Oreochromis niloticus: one gene and its partners. The protein of the gene in region 1 binds, or shares a complex with, the protein of each later gene. Links are inferred from orthologs where the notes say so. Each region holds a gene or a part of one and is shown on either strand. Other genes may lie near its edges. The genes, in order: nmt1a, neuronal calcium sensor 1 and aifm3.

The links.
Region 2: the proteins of nmt1a (region 1) and neuronal calcium sensor 1 are in contact, whole or in part, in a crystal structure (PDB 5O9S), measured with the Homo sapiens proteins. The link is inferred for Oreochromis niloticus from reciprocal best matches to the Homo sapiens genes NMT1 and NCS1. Residues at the interface, in NP_066565.1 of Homo sapiens: Tyr180, Val181, Glu182, Asp183, Asp184, Asp185, Met187, Phe188, Arg189, Phe190, Tyr192, Asn246, Thr282, Ala283, Gly284, Arg295, Tyr296, His298, Ser300, Lys310, Phe311, Ser312, Tyr401, Leu403, Ser405, Tyr420, Gly468, Ile469, Gly470, Asp471; in NP_055101.2 of Homo sapiens: Gly2, Lys3, Ser4, Asn5, Ser6, Lys7, Leu8, Lys9.
Region 3: the proteins of nmt1a (region 1) and aifm3 are in contact, whole or in part, in a crystal structure (PDB 6SJZ), measured with the Homo sapiens proteins. The link is inferred for Oreochromis niloticus from reciprocal best matches to the Homo sapiens genes NMT1 and AIFM3. Residues at the interface, in NP_066565.1 of Homo sapiens: Tyr180, Val181, Glu182, Asp183, Asp184, Asp185, Phe188, Arg189, Phe190, Asn246, Thr282, Ala283, Gly284, Tyr296, His298, Phe311, Tyr401, Ser405, Ile469, Gly470, Asp471, Asn473, Leu474, Leu495, Gln496; in NP_001373743.1 of Homo sapiens: Gly2, Cys4, Phe5, Ser6, Lys7, Pro8.

Annotation. Positions count from the first base shown.
Region 1 is NC_031969.2:27,687,881-27,695,637, forward strand, and holds the start of nmt1a (glycylpeptide N-tetradecanoyltransferase 1), read left to right. Parts: upstream 1-4,735; 5' UTR 4,736-4,750; coding exon 4,751-4,950; intron 4,951-6,587; coding exon 6,588-6,693; intron 6,694-6,902; coding exon 6,903-7,047; intron 7,048-7,757. Other genes in the region: plcd3a (1-phosphatidylinositol 4,5-bisphosphate phosphodiesterase delta-3-A), read left to right, coding at 1-68, 231-409, 1,421-1,556, 1,860-2,009, 2,101-2,243.
Region 2 is NC_031977.2:11,093,613-11,101,065, reverse strand, and holds the start of neuronal calcium sensor 1, read right to left. Parts: upstream 3,065-7,453; 5' UTR 2,912-3,064; intron 2,824-2,911; exon of another isoform or gene 2,701-2,823; intron 2,251-2,700; 5' UTR 2,130-2,250; exon of another isoform or gene 2,123-2,129; intron 1,102-2,122; 5' UTR 1,023-1,101; coding exon 959-1,022; intron 1-958. UniProt on the Homo sapiens protein: Neuronal calcium sensor, regulator of G protein-coupled receptor phosphorylation in a calcium dependent manner. Directly regulates GRK1 (RHOK), but not GRK2 to GRK5. Can substitute for calmodulin. Stimulates PI4KB kinase activity.
Region 3 is NC_031977.2:17,815,066-17,822,929, reverse strand, and holds the start of aifm3 (apoptosis-inducing factor 3), read left to right. Parts: upstream 1-4,782; 5' UTR 4,783-5,466; intron 5,467-7,864. Other genes in the region: cldn26 (putative claudin-24), read left to right, coding at 1,828-2,484. UniProt on the Homo sapiens protein: Induces apoptosis through a caspase dependent pathway. Reduces mitochondrial membrane potential.

The DNA of each region.
Region 1 (7,757 bases):
TTGTGGCCAGCGCCTTCAATCATCCAACTATGATCCTCAGGAAATGTGGAACTGTGGATGCCAGCTGGGTTGGTACTCCACACTGAAAGCTACGCTGCTGTTCAGATGGAAGCAAAAAAAATGTTTTTTAAAAACCCAGAGACGTGTTTTATTTCTGTAAATTTAATGTCATGTATCCCACTGACATCTCTGATTCCGTGTCCCTCCACTTTCCTCTTTGTGCCATTAAGTGGCTCTAAACTTCCAGACGGCCGGGGAGCAAATGGACCTGAACCAGGGTCGCTTCCTTGTAAATGGTCGCTGTGGATACGTCCTCAAACCCAGCTTCCTGTGCAGTCCCACATCCAACTTTAACCCAGAAAACACGGGAGGAGGCCCCGGTCATACCCCCACTCAGCTGACTATACGAGTGAGTAACTGTTACTAAGGATCACATTTACAGGGGGATGATGAAATTAACATTATATTTATCTAGATACACAAAAATCCAAAGAATGTGAATTCACCATCGTTTTTTAAAGCATATAGATTTTAATAACCGCTATATATGTGATGAAGTTTTTCCAAAGTTTCGTTCAGATGTGACTACCTGTTAAGGAGGACATAGACGTTATAGTACAATTTCTCTACCGCTGTTCTAAGCTTAACATAAAAAGTAAGGAAGTTAGTGTTTGGTTAATTATTTCTTTGTGGTAACAATTCTTCTTTGTAATAAATCGTATATACCACTGGAAGAATACCAATTTGTAAGGAAAATGCATTTGTGGGTTGAGCAGTAGTGTTGAGAATGTGGGTTGCACTCATGAAAAACCTGCCAAATCTTCTCTGCCAATGCCAAACAGCTTATTCTGCTATTAACTCTTGTTTGGTGTCATTTATTGGATTGGATAATTGAATTCTGAAGAAACAAGACATACTGGTAGTTTAACAGCAGTAAATGCTGGTTGAAAAATGTCATCCCATCCCACAGCAGTGTGCGACCAAGCTGGTCACCAACATGAGGAGGAGGTACTAGGCTGTTGTGAGGCCCCTGGTATGTGTTGTTTTTTTTATAGACAAATAAAGAAGCTTTCCAACGGTATACAATTTATTGCTAAGAAGCATTGTTAGAAGAAAAAGGAAGTTTCCTTCCTTTTTGTGGCAAGTTTATTTTTCGTAGTGTCATTTAGTTCTTGTTATTACTGTCCATACTTACATTTTTATCATAGAGAGGCCATCCTCTGTTGTTCCTCTGGAAGAGTTCCCTTATGTCTAAACTAGAGTCTAAACATAGAGCTATTGTGTGCTATCCAGTCGAGCCCTGTTAGCGCAATTTGCAATTTCGGATTTTGCAAAAAAGTTGCCTCCAATAGACTTTTTTTTATACATTTCTAATGATAATTTCATGCACACAATGATGAATTATGTTTTGCTTTTTCAGATAATATCTGCACAACAGCTGCCAAAAATCAACACAGAGAAGGCGAGCTCCATTGTGGATCCACTAGTGTGGGTGGAAATTCATGGGGTGGCTATTGATAAAGCAAAACAAAAAACCCACCGCATTGACAACAATGGTAAGTTTTATTTTTTTATCCACAACAACAAAAATTTTTTAAGAAATTTATTTGATTTTTTTTCTTTGCAGATTGATAATATCTTCGTTATCTATGAATATTTAAATTTCTGTAAATTAGTGTTACTTTTATAATGCAGCGACAGGAGACAAGAGATGATGTCCGAAAGCTTCTTTGTACCTTATTCAAATCTTGGAATATATATTTGTGTAGGAGTCTTTTCAATCCAATGCCATGATTAGTTTGTTTGAAAGGTTTAATGCACCAGATGGTGTATTTACAGCTCTTGTGCGCCCTCTGCAGGTTTCAACCCTCGCTGGGACTGTACTCTGAGCTTCCAGCTGCAGGTCCCTGAGCTGGCCCTGGTGCGGTTTGTAGTGGAGGACCACGATCATGCTACCAAAAATGACTTCGTGGGGCAGTTCACTTTACCTTTTACAAGCTTTCGCATAGGTGCTTATTAAGATTTAGTCTACAAGTCAGTCATGTATCAGTTCTTCACTCTCGGCTGTTCTTTTTAATATGTGTCATACTCCCCACCCAGGTTATCGACATATTCACTTACTGAAGGCAGATGGTTCCAGCCTTTCTCCTGCTACACTCTTTATCCATGTCAAAGTGACTCGCAGAGGTGTTCCTGTCAAAACTATGGCTGAGCGTATTGCCGCTGCCAAAGGCAAAGCGTGACACACATCTGAACAAGACAATCAGACATCTGGACAATGAAGGACCTTGGAAGGAGGAGCTCCGAGTGTAAACAGACAGAGACAGAATGCTGCTGTTGCTGTTGTCTTACAGTTCAGACCCCAAGTGGTCCAATTTACACAAAACCACTTCCCAGTGCTTAAAGAAAGGTGTCTGTCAGAAATGGAGACATGCCCTCTGGTGACTGTAATTCATTAAAAAACACAGAAAAGGGACTGTTAGAGAGAATGAAAATCATTTATTTTATGTCACCATTTTATTTTTTAACGTGTTTTTTTTTAAACTTGAAGAATAATGATCGCTGAAGTAAAATAGCACTTCTTAAACTGATGCTATAAAAGAATTGCAATGAGATGGAAACCAAGCGTAAGTAACTGTGTTTGACAATATCCATAAATGTCAGTGTTTTAGATGTTATTATTGGCAGCATTAACTGTGATGTAATACAGATTTAATTTTGTGTTAGTGAGTGCGCCAGGGCCCCGTGGCCCATGTTGGCTATGTACAAGTACTCGATACTCCAGATATCTGGGCACTTTTAAATTCTCTCTGGAAGACAAATGTTAACATGTTCTCACATCTTCCAGTAGAACATGACAAGCTTAACTTGCAAAGATAAGCTTTTTTCTTAAATGTCTTGTATTTTATCTTAGCATCATTTCAGATACGTTCAAATGTGCTTTTTTAAAATCATATTTGAATTTTAACGATACAGTATTTCCATATAAGCTTCTTTCATTTTGTCAATTTTTGTCCTTGTATTCAGATCTAGAAAAAATGCTGGTTAAAAACTAATTGCATCAATCTAATACAACCACTAATTACTCCAGGCTACAGTGAATCTTTTAATACTCTTATAAGGAGGTTCACTGATAATAAAATGGTCCAGCGATGAAAAGTAATTACTGTAATTACATTTTTAATGGTCACGCTGGTTTTGAGGAGAATGTAATATGTGTTTAATAGTGAGTGAAGTAAAACTTTGCTCTCTTAATGTTTAATATAGAAGCTGTGGGATGCGTTTGAGTGGTTATGTTTGCAAGAAAAATGTTTTTATAAAGCACTTCTAACATTTTTTTTTCACATGCTGTCAAAAGATACAAGTGTCTTTTTTAGTTTCAAAAGTCCACAGTGTTGTCTGTGGATACCTGACACTTTAATAAATGCATAACCAGAAGGTTGTACTGTGAATTTTTGTCTGACTTTTCTGTGATAATCTAAAACTGTCAGCCTAAAACATAATAAATCTTTACATTCCAACATTAGAACTATCAATAGATATGTCCCTGCCTGATTAGGCCAAAAGTAAAGACAAAAAAGGGAAACTCTTAGCAATATTTATGACATTTCACATTATACAGCATGGCAGCAATTTCTCCAACAACTGGACTTCTTTTTGTCTCCAAGCATCTCTATGAATTATGAGCTAATCCACCCACTGAATATTTTGTGGTAAACTTAATTAAATACAAAAACACACACAGTGTGTTGTGAATGACACTCAGCAACACCACAACAACAGAAAAGGGAGGAAGTCAGTATTAGTTTTTTCCCTCAAGAAAAACGTTGGTAAAAAGTCTTAAGTTGACGCTAAAATCATGACAGACATGTTTTTAACATCAGCAAAAATGGTTCAAAAATACACCTCAAATATAGTAATATAGTCCCTGTTGATATCTAGGTCAAAATGTTGACTTGCTAATAAAAAGTAATCACACACGGCTCTCTGAAATAATTATTAGCAAATTATTTGGCAGTCACATGTTATCGTCTCATGTGACTGCCATGATTTCTTATACTGTGCATGTTGCAGCTCTATGGGTATTTTGTCCAAGTGTTGGTGCTGTAGCTGTAGCTCCATTTCTGTAGTAATCATTATTAAACACCGTGTCACTACTTGTAATATATTCATGCAAAACGTGAATGGAAGAATGTCCCGTTAGCTTACTTCATGCAAAAACTGGGTTCTTTAATGCCCCCATTATTATGAAAATAAATAAGATGTGGACCTAAAAGGTTTTGGCTGCTTTGGAGGCGCTAATCATTACGCAGACTACGTAAATGAACAGCTAATGTACATTTTTTACCTGTTAGTGCCTTTTAACTGGCTTTCAAATAAGAAATATCAACGCCACAATGCTTAATCTGCTCAGTTGGTCTCATTCAATTCCTAAGTCTGAGCATGACTTTACCTTCTTACTCACCCTGTTGTAATATTAATTTATTAGGCCTCAGATTTTCTTTCAAGCTGCACTATCACACACGTGTTTCCACTTAAGCGCTTTCATTTGCCTTTGGGTTGTATGCACGTCACATGGCTGTTTGTCTTTAGAGGGAAAAATATATTAAATACACAAAAAATATATTTTTACTGTGGCTGTGAAAACTTAAAAATGGACGCTTTAAAACGATAAGCCGTGCCCGCTCCATTACGAGCCATTTGTTTATCGTAAATATTTGGAAATGGTCGGGTAAAAAACAGGACGACCATGGCTACGCCTCCACTGCGTGTCTCAGCCAATAGCGTCGAGGCTGTTTTAAAGGTGTCAAGGGGCACGCGGTGGCGTCTCACTTCCTGGTTGAAGATGGCGGATGAGAATGAGACAGCACCGATGCCGGAGAAAGAAGATGTAGAGGATCACGGACACTGCAGCGACTGTGAAAATGAAGAGCACCACTTTGACGATGGGTAAGGAGGCAGGCTTACTCGGTCGGTGGCGTAAAATACGTCGCGGCTCTGTAGATTTTAACAAAATTAACTTAAACTGAACCTCGGCGAGCAGTCGGGATAGACGGCCATCCTTAGACGTCGTCCAGCCCATTTTCTTTCATCCTATTGGTTAGTAGCAACGTTCGCTTGCTTGTTCTTTCATCCGATTGGCTGAGAAGGATGTCTTTTCCAAATATAGGCTGGACTTAGCGTTTTCCTAAGTATATGGTTAGAAAGGAGAAGGTAAAGTGCGTTTAGAAGCCAATTTTACACCAAGACTTGTGTTTTCGTTACTCACAAACCTTTCAGAAAAAATAAACTTTTAATTAAGTTGATTTTTTTATGGTGTTCTTCGCATGCCGTTGCTATGTTAAGGGTAAATGATGCAAATCACGTTTACGCCAGCTGACATGTAGCGTGTTAGCTTGCATGCTAGCGTACCTGGCATTGTCTGTGTGTGTGTGTGTGTGTGTGTGTGGATTCGGCGCAAGATCAAAAGTGAAACAAGCACAAACGTGCATGCAAAAAGCACGCAGCTTAAAAATAATATACTTGGGTCTCGGCGTTGTGAAGTGAGGGCTTTGAATTTCCTTTTTAATCACATAAATGTTCGCGATCTTAAAGCAGCCCAGCTCGGTTGCTCTTATTGAATACAAGCTTTGATAAAAACCCTGTTTTTCTCTTAATGTATCTTTAAAAAAAAAGTTGTGTCATATATGAAAGGGCAAAGCAGCCGAGCTTTGTTTTTAGCAGAACAAGAATGCGCCTCTGTAAGGTGGTTTTCGCAAAATCTGATCACTAACTGGAGGAAATCTGACCCGACAGCCACACGTTTACGTTTTTAAAGACACAAAGAAGGGAATAATGATAAAGTCTGAGAAAAGAATAAACCTAATGTTGCAGAATTCTACCTCAAACCCACTTTGCTGTATGGCTAAACATATTCCCCCTGCAGGTCTTTGAACCTTCCTGCACTCAGAAACAATTGTTTGGCCCCTTAACTGCTCTACCCTGTTGAAATGGAAAGTGGGAGAACAAACCATTGAATGTTTTGTTGTCCATTGTTCCAGTCACTTGCTGGGCTCTTGTACATACAGTACATAAACACACACGCACAGATACTCTTCTTCTAGATGTCATCTGATTCACCATCTGTGCTGGTGTTACAAATACAGGCCACGTACTGGCCTGCATTTCTCCCCTCTTGGACACTAATGAGATTATCTTGTGTAAGTATGTTGCCAGAAGATGAAGTAGCATGCTGGAGATATGTGGCTTTTCTGGTTGGAGCAGATCAGAAGAGGGTTATTCTGAAAATCTGCACTGCTGCAAACGAGTTGTAAATTTCTGTATGTTTTAGCTGAAGGACTGGTTTTATTGTGTCTTTAGCTGCCCTACAGCTACACTTCTTGTTGTTAGTTTAAACACACAGCTACTCCTCAGCTAACAAGGCTTTGCATCAGCAATGAAAAGTAAATTGTGTTGGAATTGTCGGTGGTTTAATAATCTTGGCTGTTGTTTAAAAGCAGATTGCAAAAAATAAATTTCCAACATGATTTTCTTTTCTTCTGAGATCAGTCTTAAAAAGGATGCCATATATTTCTGTCCTGTTCCAGTGAGAGGGGTCTTGGGGACGACACTGGCGCCAAGAAGAAGAAAAAGAAGCAGAAAAAGAAGAAGAAATCTGGTGCCACAGAAGCAGCTCAGGACCCCCTTGCCAAGGCATGAACTTATGCATTTCTGTCTTAACGGGTTATAAACCTAACCTAAAAAGAAAGGAAAAACAGTCCAGTTAAGGTGTAATCTACTAAAATCACAGTTTAGATACAGAATGGTAAAGACTGTTTGGACTGTTTAGATAGGATCAACAGTGTTGACTTCTGTTTGCTGTGGTCTTGTTTGATGTATATTCCTGTTTACTTCCCAAACAGGTGAATTCGTTGCCAGCTGATAAGCTACAGGAGATCCAAAAGGCCATTGAACTGTTCTCTGTTGGCCAAGGTCCAGCCAAAACCATGGAGGAGGCCACTCGGAGGAGTTACCAGTTCTGGGACACACAGCCTGTGCCCAAACTAGGTATGGTTACAGATGGCGTAGTTCTGTTTTTCATGCCAATATGTAGCTTATAGGTCAAATCTTTAGGGATTGATAAAATAATGTTTTTGTTGTTGTTGTTTTGGGGGTTTTTCTGCAAGTGGGCTTACACAGATGGTCAGTTAACACAGAGTGAACAGAAGGAAAAAAGGCTTGTACTTATGACTCAAGTATGCAAAAGCTCAGTACAAAAGCATTATTTTGCAATCTGTTGATGAAATGTGTCTATAATTGTGAAAGGAATCAGTAATTGGGCATGGTTAAGAGGATGCAACATACTCATCAGCCACTTTGTTAGGTACACCATGGTAGTACTGAATTGGACCCTATTTTACCTTCAGAACTGCCATGATTCCTAATGGCGTAGACTTGAAATGTGCTGGAAACATTCCTCAGAAATTTTCGGCCATATTGACATGATGACATCACACGGTTGCTGTAGAACTGTCAGCTGCACATGCATTTCTCCCATTTCAATACACCACAGATGTGCTCTTTTTGTTTGCAGTCTGGTGAATTGGGAGGCCATTTGAGTACACTGACCTCATTTCATGTTCAAGTATCCAGTTTGCGATTACTTGACCTTTATTATATGACATGGTAGCCTACTGGAAGCAGCCATCAGAAGATTGGTACATTGTGGGCATAAAGGGAATTAAATTGTCAGCAACAGTACTCAGGAAGGCTGTGGA
Region 2 (7,453 bases), on another chromosome or scaffold:
ACCACACAAATAACACTGTCATTAAGCAGCCAGGGGATGTCAACTCCCACCCACACCTGCACACCACGGTGCTCAAATAATAATAATAATAATAATAATAATAGCAATGCTGTGCTCCAAAAATAACACACAAGTGGTTAATATAGTGGATACCAAGCAGACATTGCTGGTGGTAATTAGAAATGTGATCCAAAGTGATAGCTGAGCAGACATTGGTAAGCAACGGCTGGTAAGATGGTAGAAATACAGTCAATTTGCACCCTAATGCATCAACGGGAACAACGATAGAAGATATAATTACAAAGTCACACCTTCGCTACAGTTTTTGATTGGAGGGTCAGTCCCCTTTCTGTGAGCCCACCCCATCCATCGATCTTGATGCAGGAATGCAATTTATAAGTGTAGCAGCACAAGCACGGCGTGAATTGATTTACCCTTTGTATGTTTAAATTTATCAATGTCTGTCACATTAGAAGTAGAAAATACAGCATGTTTACAAGCGCAACACATAAAACCACACGCTCATCTGTAAAGAAAAGCTATCATTACAGCTGCCGCAAACTCTACTATGTCCTCAGCGTAACTTAAAGACGCCGGTTGCAACTTTTTACTCAGCCTTAGCTTAGTAATGTCTGCGATACATTCAAAAATCTGAAATTTGAAACAAATGAGGAGATCGTTCGCAACTGACATCTGCTCTGTCAGTGGTGAAAAATGTATAGCATCCCAAAGCATCCCAGCAGGCAGCGTTATTTACTGTTAAGCCTGTGTGGTGCACAGTGGGTGGAAAATGAGATTAGCAAACCGCAGCAATAAACTCTGTATTATGTATTCCTATTGCAAGCTGTATGTTCTTTAACCTCAGGCCAACAGGCTATGACAAGCTCACAGAAAAAGTTTCTGCAAAGTTTTTCTTTGTAAGAACAAGCAAAAAACAAACACACTTTCAGTTACTCACAGTAGGTTTTCCTTGTCAACTCCTCTACCACCTCTGGCTTGAGCTTGCTGTTGGATTTACCCATGATCTTCAGCTCTCTTCGACGCCTCCAAATCCACGCTGGCACGTATCACCTGTTACTACGTCCTCGCCAGTCTGCTCCTCTGCCAAAACACGCAAGAGAAGTGGGGCCAGTTTAGGTGCGAAGACACGGGTGAGATAGGAGAAAGACACTTTTATTTGAGTTTGCTTTGACAGAAAAAGAAATAAAACACTCCCATTCACGCTAATCGTTCTGTGTATATCACTCTAGCTGTGGTCATGATCTGCTCAGCCATCAGCACTCCACACAGACGAGTCAAACCCCAGGGGACCACGTGAAGAGGACCCAGCAGGTTGTTGAGTCTATACGAGCGCTGCGGAGCGCCTATGTGTCCGCCTCATTTCTTCACAGCAGCCCGTGGGCGAAGAGTGGCGTTTGGACACGTTGCTACCTTCGTCCTTGGATACAAGAGTCACTCAGTGGCTGGGTTAAGCACGCTCGCTCCCTCACAGTCATTCTCTGTTCTTCTCACTCCTCCCACCCCTCCTTTCCCACCACTATCTCTATTGCTCAGGGTAAGTTACTGTAGAAAAAGAGTCCTCCCTCTTGACAGCTGAGATAAGGAGGTGTGTAAACTAAAATACAATGAACAGAGCTCGACTTGGATGCCCCCCGCTGCACTTTGCGCTCGCTCTAAAACGTTAGCTCTAATCCTTGGAATTTACACAGACACCACAGTGTAAAGAAACAGTTTTAAAAGGCTTCAGTAATAATTTCTAGGGAAAAAAAAAAAGAAGATACCAGAAAGACGCCAAGTCTGTTCACGGTTCTACAGCTCTGATGCCAACTGAACAGCACAAAAGAGATCCGGTGCTGCTCTTAAAATAAGCATGTGAGCTGTCTACCAAGTTTAGATGTGTATTTGAAGAGTGACAGTTTTCTTTTTTTTTCTCCTCCATTCTGACTCATAATTCTCCCTCCTTTTCTGGCCTCATGACAACACGGCATGGTGATTTCTTCCTCTCTGTCACAGAGATGGGGATAATGGAATTTCTTTGTACCGTGGGCCGGGCGTTGGCATGCACTGACGGTTAACCACAGCAGCTGTCTGAGCCACAGAATTAGAAGACTACTGTACGCACTATGCACCTTCACTGCAAACATCTGTACTCTGCGTCCACGGCCAGCGATGTCTTTGCGAGGGATGCCACGCTGGTAATCACCATTTTGCGTTTGCTCAAGCCTTCTGGTCCTGGATATTACACAGACACTATGAAAATAAACAAACAGACAGCAGTTACAAAGGGAATGACAGGCATGTGCTGTGTTTCATGAGAAATGGACTGGACTGTCACCTAGAGCCACAGACACATGGGCACTTGACTGGAAAAACACTCAAAACAAGACGACCTTTCTAGTGTCTGCCTAAGCTGCTGAGTGTAGCCAGCAGGCATCAGACAATATGCAGCTAGAAGAGTGCTGTCAATTTAACTGTAGAGGCTGCTATTAAAGTATTCTGCGTTAAATCAGCACAGCCTAAACGAGCAGAAAATGAAGTCACGTTGTTAAATGACTGATTCAAACAGCTGGCTAAGACAAAACAGCACAACTAAAATACATACAATCTCAACAAACGTATAGCCTGGTTAAAACCCTCGAAAAGCGCTTTGTTTTTATTAATTTCAACGTGTTTTGATTGACAGCAGCGAGAAATACATACAGTCGCGGCAGCAGCAGGTGGGATGTTGCCTGGCAGTACCATAGCAACCCTCAGTTTATGGCTACAGTGCGGGAAGCTAGTCATTGTACTCGAAACGTTTGGTACCCATGCTGTTCCGTGTAGCTAGTTGACAAGGAAAAAAAAAAACAGAAAACACACCTTTAAATGAATAAAGAAAAAAACGTTCCCATATAAAGCGGCTTCTGGTTACCTTAGCCACAAAAGCGGAAAGTCGCGGTGAAAAGAAATAATTTGCCCCACAGCAGAAAGCCGCTGTCCGACGCCGTCTTCCTTCGCCGAGTTCCGGAGCGAGCGACTCGCTGCTGCGCGGATGGCCGTCCGTGCTGCTCTGATGCCGCCGTCAGGGAGTGACGTTGCTGCCTCTGCTGCATGGCCCCGACCAACTCAGCTCAGTGCCAGAGACACTGACGTCGCGGTACCACTGGACACACACTGACTCTTTGTGTGCTTTGAGAGCCTTTACACGTGTCACCGGGCACATAGCGAGAGGTTAACTTTTCGACTCATATTCACATTATATGTAACGTTGTTTACAGGTCAGTCTGCCTGCCCAGTTTTACACACAAAAAAAGAAAGAAAGAAAAGGTCGAAAGTGGTGGCGGGGTGTCTTGTTTTTCTTTATAACACTCAAATTAGCCACTTACCCTTTTTTAATGCCTAATCACTGCACTGGATTCAAAGTTAGTGTTTGTAACTTGTGAAATCTGAGTTTGTTGTTCAAACGGACAAAAATTAATTGTGGCAAAGGGTTGTATTAAAAAGGAATAAGTTACATTTTTAACATAAATATCAAAGTTCCTTAAGTAAAGGGGCTAAAACGATTCGGAATAATCTAACTTTTAGTCCTTCGTCGGGGTCAGTCAAGGTTGAGCAACACTACAATTCCCACAATGCCATTGGCAGTCCTGCGTTTGAGGTAAAATTCCAAATTTACATGATATCTGATTTACAGCGTTTGGCCCAAGTAACTACCGTTAATAATACCGGTTTGTATAAAGATCACTTTTTTAGTGTGAAGTAAAGAAAAGTTTATTTATTCATTCATTTATTTATTTATTTATTTATTGCTATGTTTAAAAATAGCTACAAAGTAATCCACTTCCATATCTGCACTTGTTTAAACTTTTCAGTATTCTCACACCAAACTAAATAACACAGAAATGATTAGCATTTGTTAATGGCGTTTCTCATGATCACATCATACATATTCAATGACTCATTTAAAAAAAAAAAACACCTAAAATCAATGGCATTTTAAATGCAAGCTATTTTCAATCATTTCAAATGTCAGCAGCAGAGCAGCCCATACTCAAAAAAAGATCACCTGCCTCTTTTGCTCTCTCTGTTCTCTCTCTTTCCTCCATTAACAGTGAATTGTCAAACTTAATGTTAATGGTTGATAACACGGCAGGTAGCCAAGTTACACACTGAAATAGTTTTTGTGTTTCGTGATATGTTTGGTTTAGTTTTTTTAAAGCTTGGTTACAAAACGAAAACATCAAGTCATGTTTGGAGAGACTGATCTGCTAGCTTGTTAAAAAGCCCATCTACAGTCTCAAAGCCTCCCTAGGGCAGCAAGCCGTTCAAACAATGGGGTGTGAATAAATGATGTGTGTAAGTGGGTCGTTACATTTTCAGCAAAAGGCTGCTGAATCACTGCTGAGTATGAACTTTAACACTCACAGGCCTTTGGTCAAAATTAAAATAACTTCACCAGAGGGCTTCAGCATAATGACAACACGAGTTAAAGCGTGACCACCATGGAAACGTGAGAGGGATTATTCTGAGGTCCCCCTGTTGGTGAAGCGGCTACTGATGCCATAGTCTGCTGCTTGATAGGTATGCAGGTGCACACATTCTCTAAACATAACACCATACATGCTATTACATATATGGTTTTAAGTTATGTTCTTGAGAAGACAAATGTGTGTGCTCACTGCTTTTCACTTGCTTTCTCATCAGGACCCAGACTATCCAATAAATGTTCAGTGAATCCAAGTATTCTTATATTTATCCATCCATGCATCTTCTCTCGCTTACCCAATTCAAGGTTGCAGTGGAGCCTTTCCCAGTGAGAAGTGGAGTACACACTGTACTGATGCAGACCGGTATTGTTATTTATTCCTTTCATATCTTAACTGTGAAATGTGTTAAGGGCCACTTGCAGAACATTATTTAACCTTTGCCAGGTTCTACAGGGCTTTGTAATGAGTTTCACATAAGCAGACACACACATACACACACTCGGCCGTGGAGCTGGAATGCAAGGAGCTTGTCTGACATCGGGAGCAAGTTAGTTCAGTGTCCTCCCCAAAAACACTACTAGTGTGGAGGGCTCAGGCATCAGAAGTTTATCAAAGCTTATACATAGCTGAATACATGTATATCACTTATGAGTGAGTTATTTTTAGTAACATAAAATGTTGACAGTCTGAGTCAACCATGGTTAAAAAAAATATTGTGGTCACTGCGAAGAAAAATACTGTTACTACTGAAAATAGGGTTCGTAAGGTACTATATTAACTTCGTAAGGTAGGGTCAAGTTTTTGACCTTCACAGAGAAAGTCTGGGTTCAAATTACAGTGAATTATGCTTAATAAGGCTTGCTAAAAATACAAATTTCAGGTAAAAAAGGAAAACGTGACTGCAGACAACTTTCTCCAACACATGTATCTCCCACAGAGAGGCTCGCCCGACTTGTCTGCTTTTCTCCGCAGCACAGTTTTGAAGCTGAATACAGACTGGGATGTTTTTTATTGCACATCTTCATATCTGACTGTGCACACACAAGCTCTAATGACAGATTTGCAGGTCTTGTACACGTCCACAAAAATTAAGAGACATTTACAAATTTGACTAGAGAGAGATTGGGAGACATCTGTGCACAGGTTTCCAAATAAAGGTGGTAGAGTAAAAGCCTCATTATTCATCAGTTATTTAGGGAGTAAAGTTTGTTAGCCTTGAGGGTAGGGATGTGCATGATTTTCTAATATTAGTCACTGAGCTACAAAAAAAGAAAAGGTTATCTTTTTTGGGGGGGGGTTATAATATGATGGATGGTCTTGGAAGAATGCCCATCCCTTCTCTGCAACCACGCTTATATGGTGGTGCAGTTGCTGCTGGTGTCAACATAGACTGTATTTAAAAAGTGGGCTTGGTTTCCGGGTCTGAAAAATGACACGTAAAAAGTGAAAGGGGGGTGGGGGGGTCGTTTTGTTACCAAAACAAGAAAGATTTCAGTAATCTCTGTGGGAAATACAAACCTTCAGTTGCTTGATCTATGAGCCCAGCGAATACTTTCCTAATGAGTTTTATGGTCTCAGTGGCTAGTTTATTAAACACAGCATGATGTTCATTCTAGAAATGATGCTCCCTGTTAAAACACAGCAATAAAGCAGCATTTGCCTTGGGGCAGGTCTACCTTGTGATTGGTAATTTCTTATCCCACGAGTGGGCCTGTTTTTGGCCACACCCAACTACGACTGGTTTCAAAATGCTAAGATGTTATCTATCACCTCAGCCCTTGGGATGAAACTTTACTAACCAATGGGTGAATTCTCAGTGGTTGCATACATCTCTTATGTACAGTCTGTGTGTGCAACTCATTTATGTTATTAAAACAAACTGCACAATCCACCCCATTTTTTAAAGATTGTTCCTTCTTTTCCCAAAATTCATGAAACTATCTTCTGTTGAATTACATGCATAATCTAACCAAAAGACAAACAAGCCACAGTAGAAGGTCTGTGGCAGAAGTAAATAAAACTGAAAGCTTGAGAGTGGGATTGTAAATTGAGACACCATACCAGCAAACTTCAGGTAAGGTGTATCCAAACATAGGCTACTATAATTACTGATCTGGAGATTGCAGGGCCCTGCTGGGAAAGAGAACAAGATGGGAATAAGGGAAAATGATTTCAGATACATTACTTGCTAAAAGATGGGGAAAGGAATTTTAATTGGTCTGAAGAAAAAAGATTAATGCGCTGCAGTTTTCATTTATTGATTTTTATACTGAAGGACGCGAGGACGAGTCATGTAACCAGAAGGCTCATTTGTATTTTTGCTCCCGATTCCTCTTACTCATGCTCGAGTCCAAACTTTGCAGTCAGACATCTCCATGCGTAGCTTATTAAAATTCAACTCCCCCGAGCGTCGTGTAAACAGATGTTCAGCTATTGGATTTGTTCATTAACAACTGCCACGCCATCATTCTATAGCCCGATAGGAGCTTTCTGTTAATTCATGGGAGGGTTGGATCAAAATGTAGGCTGTCTGACTTGGCCATCTTAGTATTCAGTATCCTTCCCTGCAGTTCCTTATTGCAGTCAACTGCAGTTACAGTAGCCCCGTAGGAATAGAGAGAACAAGGCTGAGAAATAGAGAAAGAGGCCATGGCAAAAATGGGGCAAATTGCTCTAAGATTTTTTTGATCTTTCTGGATCATTTAGAACTTTAGAAGCCTTGTTGAGTTTACTAAACTAAAGTCTGCATCTTGTATCAAGTTCAGTCTAAATGCTGTCTTATGTTTGTCTAATTTTAGATCACTATGTTGAAGTTAACTTCAGTAGGTATTGCAGCAGGTAATAAGGTAAGGTTTGCATTGTCTGGATCTGTTTGGAAGGCAATTGCATTACCATTGCACCACCCAGCTGTATGCTTATACATACAGTATCTGCTTTGTGATATCACAGACTTTTAAACTAGTGTTTTTGCTGCTGCTGTCAGTTTT
Region 3 (7,864 bases), on another chromosome or scaffold:
AATCCAAATCATATGAAAATATTTATAATATATCTCTGTGTTAAGTACTGTTACTGGCACATGTCTTTGTGATAATTCTTACCATTAACAAAATCTGTGTATCCTATAATACTGACCTGAGTATTTAGTGACATTATTCTGTTATCATGCACTCGAAGCCTTAATAAATCTCCTACAGAATGAGTCATGTGTTCTGAGTGTCTGTGCTCTGATTCACCAGTATACCAACGTTATTGAGGTTTCTGCGCAACCATTTTGTCAGTTAATCAATACAAAGGAATGTGTCAAAAAACTGAAGTTTTTGTGAAACCACAGAAGTGATTGATTTGACCTCTTTAGAAGCTATTGTCAGGTTGTGTTATCACAAATCTTCTGGGCTCTCTAACAGACGACTTTATTCTTGAGCCCAAACCTAACTTTTAACCTGCTTTTAAATCCTACAGCCATCTGTGCAAAGAGCCAATAACTCCATTATGTCAGCTTTGCCTAAAACTACAGCATTGGCCTTCCTCACTGTCTTTATGCAGGGACCATACTAGACTGGATCAGCGGGAAGGTTGTTTTGCTGCTTTTAGTGTTTGGGGTTAAAGTGGGTTGAAACAGGCAGCAGTCCTCATCCCGTCCAGCAGGATATGGCCTACTCAGTAAATACGTCACCATTGCTGCTTAGATGAGAAGTGGATGCCTCAAAGGTGTAGGAATTTTAAACAGCTGATGTTTAAAGTGAAATATTCAAAGACACTTTTTGTTGGCCTTGAATACTGGTGCTAATCTAAAATTCAGACTATTGTTACAAACTAAAGCCAGTGCAACTTAAACACAGTGTGAAAAAGCTGAAGGTCAGCCCTTGACCTTTCATTAAATCAGCATGTCCGTCAGGGGTCTCAGTTTCCACAGATCTATGCATGATAAGTTCAGACAACGCTCCCTGGTTTGAGCGGATGAATTCCTTTTGAATCTGCAAGGTTTTGGAATGCAGCGATTTTGGTGTACTCACGTGATCTAAATTAAATTCAGTAGTTTAATTTTAATTATTAATTTGAGATGTGTTACAGGTTCTTATATATGTACTGCGGTCACCCTTAATAATCCCAGTATGAGTTCAATAAAATTTAAAAAAAGTATTTTATGAACGTTTATAGTTAATTTTGTTCATGGGGCTAAGACAAAACGTTTGTCCTAAATGCAGAGGCATTATATTGGTTTTCTACAAGCTGGCAGTTGTACTGCAGGATCTGTAACAACCCACAGAGGAATTCACAAAGTGCTGGACTCTTTTGGACTTTTGTACTGCTGCAGTGAGCACAAAGTGCTATTCACAGTAGAGATACTTGAGAAATTTAGCAAATCAAAATAAATAACTTAAACAAATAATATATAATCAAAAACGAAAGTCCATACCTCACCTAATTTTGCTGAAACTTTTAAAGTTGTACTGAATTTCACAGTCACGTGAAACAGTAACTTTTATGTCTTTCTTTTTTATGCGCCCCTCATGCACAGGTTGCTCATGTTTCATTCAAGTTGACTTGTGCACACACACGGCCGAGAATCCCTCTGCTCATATCTGGTTTCATTTAAATACTGAGTTCGTTGTTCGCTGGGATGACATTGAACACTGAAACCAAACAGTATGGCCGTTGTTATGCAGTGGTACCAGATTATCTCCTACTTATCAGGTGCATTTTCTTAAAGAAGTAAGAAGTGGGCTGTCCAGGTCTGTCCAACAGGTGGGACGAGCTACAGAGCCACTCGGATGGCTTGCCTAGCTTTACTTAGATTTGGACACAGAATCACAGCACAGACTTCACCGCACAAAGGCAGAAGATGGTTTTTCTAACAGCTAAAATGATGCAAAGGACCGCGCTCTTTGTGACGGTTGGAGGCTTGGTGACATCTCTGATCACCACCTTCCTTCCACATTGGAAAACAATGAACTCTGATCTCAATGAAGTGGAGAACTGGTTCTCTGGGCTGTGGCACACCTGCCTCTACACCGAGGAAGTGGGAATTCAGTGTAAGGCCTACGATTCCATCATGGGACTGCCGATGGACCTGCAGATCTCCAGGGTGCTCATGTCAGTGTCTATTGGTACTGGTGCTTCAGCTGTATTGGCTGCTTTCCCGGGTCTAGAGGGGGTTGAGATGTGTATGGAGCCGCCTGGTCTGAAGAGAAGTCTCCTCATCTTTAGTGGGGTGCTGTCCTGGGTGTCTGGGCTCACTACTCTGGCTCCTGTGTCTGTTGTGGCCTACACAACTGTGGTGGACTTCTGGGACGAGGGTTTTCCTGATGTGATGCCACGATGGGAGTATGGGGAGGCGATGTTCTCCGGATGGTTTGGAGGCCTGGCACTGGTCATCGGAGGGACTTTGTTCTTTGTAGCTGTGTGCATGGGCGACTACGACCGGCAGACATCGAGTGTACCAAACAGCCCACAGGTGAAGCAAAAGACACAGCACTACCTAAAGACGGAGGTTTTATAACTTGGACATTCCCATATGTGTAATATCTGCGAGTTCATGTACGTTATATGGAAGCATGACAGCCTGTGAAAGGTTACAGTAGTTCTACCGAGAAGCACTGAAGTGTTTTTGGGGCCCTTTTGTTTTTTTTACTGGATTTCAAACTGGAAATCAAACTTTTTTTTCTGTGATCTCTGTTTAGAAGAAAAAATCTGAAGCAACTGTGTGCGACCGGACACATTTTATTAAAACAATGCGAGACAATAGATGGCTGCTGTAGTTTTTATTCTTGTTAAAGGATTGGAGGACAATTTATTTAGCAGAACATACACGCCATTGGAACCTCACTTAATGGTACGGTAAAAGCTAGTCTAAATAACTTTTTGGTTGAATTACTCATGCATTAGTTTTAATGTCAAGGGATGTGTGCAATAAGTGCACAAAAGTATGTCATAAAGTTTCAAAACACCAGAAAGGAACCTACTATCACCATAAAACCGATTTATGAGAGTTTTGTTTAGGAACACTGACCACAGGCAATCACTACAATAAAGTGAGTATTTTTTTCTGATGCTTTAAAAGTCTTTAAAAGTCAGTAATGCTTTTAAGACGAGCTTTCTTTCTTGCTAATCAGCATCAATATACCAGAAATATAAAGTGTAGCCATGCCAGATTATAGCAAAACTGTTCATTAACATCTGTAGTCCTGGGGCAGGTGACATCAAACTTTCTAATAAACAAAAACAAAAATAAATGATTCATCAGACAGAAGTAACTGATGGTTTGGGATCACTTACTGTTTAAGATGTGCCTTAAGTGCCTGGTATGTGGACCGCGCCTTTAATGCCTTTGGTAGGCTATTCAGACATTTAGTTCCCTTTACTGACAGCACAGCTTGTCCAAATGTAATGCACCTATAAGGATATTTATCTATCCATTTAAGCTCCATGGAAGAACATATGTGAATATGCATGTAATTTACAGCTGCACTTGTGGTGATTTCTTTCAGATGAATTTTATTTGTATATTTTAGTTAGAAGAATGATATTCAGCTGAACTGAAACATGAAGAAAGTTAAAGAAACTTAAAGGTTTCTTTAAGTTCGTAATGAAAACGAGTCCGTAATGAAAATGTCCCGCATTAGTTGTGAGCAGAGTCAGAGTGCTCACTGCAGTGCAGGAGTGAATAAATGAGCAGGGGTTGCATTCTTGAGCTGCTCTGTGTTGAATTTCATTTGGTGGGGAGGGGGCTTGGTGCCATCAGCTCCTTTTAGAGCTTAATGTACTCTGTTGCTCACCGTTATTGTCAGAACTGATGTAGACTGTTTTGTTTTATTCTTTTCAGTTTCTTCATTTCACCAAAAAAGGGGGTCAAACACTGATGTTTCTTTGGCTGGGCGATGTACGTTATTAGCATTTACTTACTGATTGATTTAAAGCTAATTAACAGGGTAAATCTACCCCTAATAACTGCTGGCATTAATATTTTGGCAGAGCATTTGTTTTATAAGCCATTAATGATTCATTCACTTCTCCCTGCTCTCTTGATCTGGCTTTTTGGATGCTGCAGCTCTCTGTGACCCCTGGGAATTCAATTAAACTGAGTGATGTGTCAGTGATGTCAGATGGCCTTCCCTGCACACTGGGCGAGTCTGATAGGTCATCTTGTCGTGCATATCCACACGCCCCACCCTGGCTTTCACTCAAATATGCTTTTTCCATCAAACAAGAGCAGTGCGTGTGCACCTGTCAGCTGTCAAACATCAAATTAGTCCATGTGGAGAGTGGAAATGATCTAATTTGATCTCTATTCTTTTATAACCATGTTTTGTTTTGTTTTGTGTTTTTTGAAGTGAAAGCACTGACATTCTGAAAACACCATAAAGGTTTTGGTGCTGCATGCTGATCATCACCTGTGTCACTGTTGTCATCATCATTTCCATAGAAATGAATGTGCAATTATCAGGTGAATGACCTTGACCCATCTCTCCCACAATGGGAGCATAAGGAATGGAAATATCTCGAGAGCTCATTTCTATAAGACTTAGTAGGCTATACCTTTGTAATCCTGCTCCACCCTACCCCCTCACTGAACCCAGGATTTACTGCAACAACTGCACTTTGAGGCTTTCTCCCTCTGCTGCACACACTGATAGAAGTGCAGCATTCACACACACACACACACACACACACACACACATACACACACACACAGTAAGTGCGGCTTCGGTGTTTATTTTATGTTCCCTGGTGGTCAGTGTAACTACAATAAATCCAAACACTGGTAAGTTTTAACAGCAGATGATGCTCGTGGAAGCAGCATTTACAGGGAGCAGCCAGTGTAATAGGTGGGCAGTCATTGGGGCAGTGCTTTGCGGAGGGTAGTTAAGTCTTTGATCAGGTTTAGCTGGCAAGTCAGGTCTTTGACATTTGAAGGCGAGGCTGAAATGGTCTGAACAGAAAAGCAAGCCTGGCGCGCGCACGCACACACACAGAGCGCGCGTGTGTGTTTTTTAAGAAAGAGAGAGGAAGGTTGGGTGGAGGAGAGCAGGGAACGGTGAGAATTCATGCTGTGTTAGCATCCCCTCAGCAACTCCATCAATACCGCATACAGCTGAGAAACTGGCAAAGGTCCTCCGTGCTGCGTTTTCAGGCTCGGACAGAGAAACAGAGCAACTCCCACAACCCGTCGGCTCAGTGTGCTGCTCCTGCTGCTCCTGCTGCTGCTGAGGGGGACTCTGAGAGGGGCAGAGCGCACACACACGTACACTCACCCACACACTCACTCACTCACTGGAGCCTCTGCTGCATCAAGAGGAAGAAGAGGAGTGCGGAGGAGGGTACGGAGGGACACGCAGACTGGGAATACTCTAGCGGAGAGAGCCAATCCGGAGAGGGAGAAGACTGCGAGGAGACCCGTGCTAATATGCTGCCGTGCTCCGCAGGGACGGCTGAGCACCAGGGAGTTTGACAGGATCTCAGTGCACCTGCTCCATGCACGCGGGTAAGACCCTTCACATTCTTTTTACACCAGGGACTCAGAGTTAGAGGTAATTACTTTATATGTGTTTATGTGATGCTGCATGCGCGCGCGCGCGCGTGTGTGTGTGCGTGAGAGAGAGCGAGATCCCACTTATTTCTTCAAGTGGGTTTTGCCTGCATTGGCGCACTGTGGTCACATAGAGTACTTCTATAAGGAAGTTACTTGCTCTGGGGGCTCTTCTGTTGAGAAACATCCACTGTTTCTCTACAAATCAGTTTGTTAGTGAAAACACACTCATGAGTGGAATACATGAAAATCTTGGAGAAATTCTGATCCCTCAAACTTCACGCATATCAGATAATGTTTTCCAGTCCATATACACCAGTAACTTTTACAAAAATGAAAACAGGTCGAATATATCACAGCACATCTCCAATCATAATTTGTATGCGTCTGCGTGTGTGTGCTGAGAAACTGGTCACTTGCAGAACTACTCTAAGGAAGTACAGCTGCCCTGTAGGGGTGTACACCCCTCTGAAGAACTCAGTTCCAGTTTTCCATGACATCATGGAGAGGTTATCGCTCAAAGTAGCAGCAAAATTACCTGATAGAGCCATGTAGTGCTATTGTTAACCAACTTAAGCTTTACAGATAAATACATACAAAACATATTGGCATCTGAGTCAACATAAAGCCACAGGAACTTGTCTACTTCATGAACTCTGTGCTGTTGAACAGTAAATAACGCTGAATGCTGATTTGGTCTTTGTTTTCTTGAACCACGTGGCAGCTGCTGTATCATGTGAAGCAGTAATGTTTTTTTGAATTCCCCTTAAAAGCTTAATTAGGACTGTACCTGACTCTGTAATCAGGTAAATGTATAGTTAATTTATCACACATTATAGTCCCGTTTCTTTTTTAATTTTCAGTCAAGGCTTTTTCACAGCCTGCACTCTGTTGGCGTCACATGGAGCTGAATTTATTTCTTCAAATCTTGCCCATAACAAGGATGTCACCTCACAAAGGAAACAAAAGCAAAACTATACACAAACATTGATCTGAATAATCTGAATGAAATTAAACACACACACAAACACACACACTGGAGCCTCCTAATGGGGATTGTGGTAACTGTAATCCACACTTTTTTCTTTCATAGTCAGTGACACGTAGGCACTGGAGTAAACAGAAGTCAATCAGAAGCTTGGCGGCATTTCAGGGAACACCTTTAACTTCAGACATGGCTTGGGACACTTGCTGCCCTTCCCTTTCCCTCCTGTTTCCTTTCACTGCAAACAATTAACACATGAACAGCAAAAAGACACCAACAAAAAAAGATCAAGGATTAAAATGCTTTCATTTTTATACATTTGTCAGGGGCACTGAAGACTTCATTAAACTGCTAGTAAATAAAATAAATGGTCAGTAAGAGCCTGTCAGCTCAGCAGCAGGTTTATGCAATTGCAGGATGACTCCTCAGGCTTATCTTGCATTTCACGAACCTGAAGAGCTGACTGTGAGGGAAAGAAAGAAGCGTGGTCAAATATTAAGCAGCATGAGGCCTTTTATCAGCCAAGGATCAGAGAACTCTAACTACAGGCTAACCTGTCAGGATACCTGCCAAGCAGGTGTTTTAAAATAGTCAAGGTGTTATGAAGTGAATGAGCCAATAAACAGCTGATCTTCTCTTAGTACATATGGAGATCGCAGCATGTTCCTCTTCTGCTAACGTTACACATGCTATCACAGTTTGCGTGGTAATTTCAGTGGGTGTGTCCATCAAAGGGCTGGCATTTTCGACTGGCATTTGTTTCACTCACGTTCACTTTATAGATCAGCCTCTTTTCCACCAACCAGGAGTTGGCATTTTGCTAATTCTCCCCTCTGACATTCCAGTAACAGGTTTTGCATTTGTAGGGAAGTGAGTGAAACTGACAGCTTGTTTGCAGGCAGGATTATTAGCACTGCTTGGGGACAGGCCCAACAGTGAGAAAGAGTGAGGGATCTGCGTCATATGTTGTGAGGACCAAATCTGCTTAACCTACTTTAGTTTTGCACAAAATATCTTGGGTTTACTGGAGCTCCAGTATGGTAGCTATTTGTGATCCAATTTGTTGTTCATCAAATTTTCAGTGGTGACGAATTATTTAAGGGACAACATGCAAGGGGCAAGTTTTCCTACATATCTTCAGTCTTCAGAAAGGGACTTGATATTTTTTTTTGCTTTCTCTAGTTAGTGGCTTACACAGAAAGCACTTGGCAGTGCTGGCAAGGATGTTAACTAAATGCAAGGAAATGTGCTTGGCATAGATATTTGAAGGAACAGCGCAAAAATACAGATTAAAAAGAAGCTAGAGCCAATGGAGATCACTAGGTTTTCACTAGATTTTTGGCTTAACAAGTCAAGTAACACCTTGTT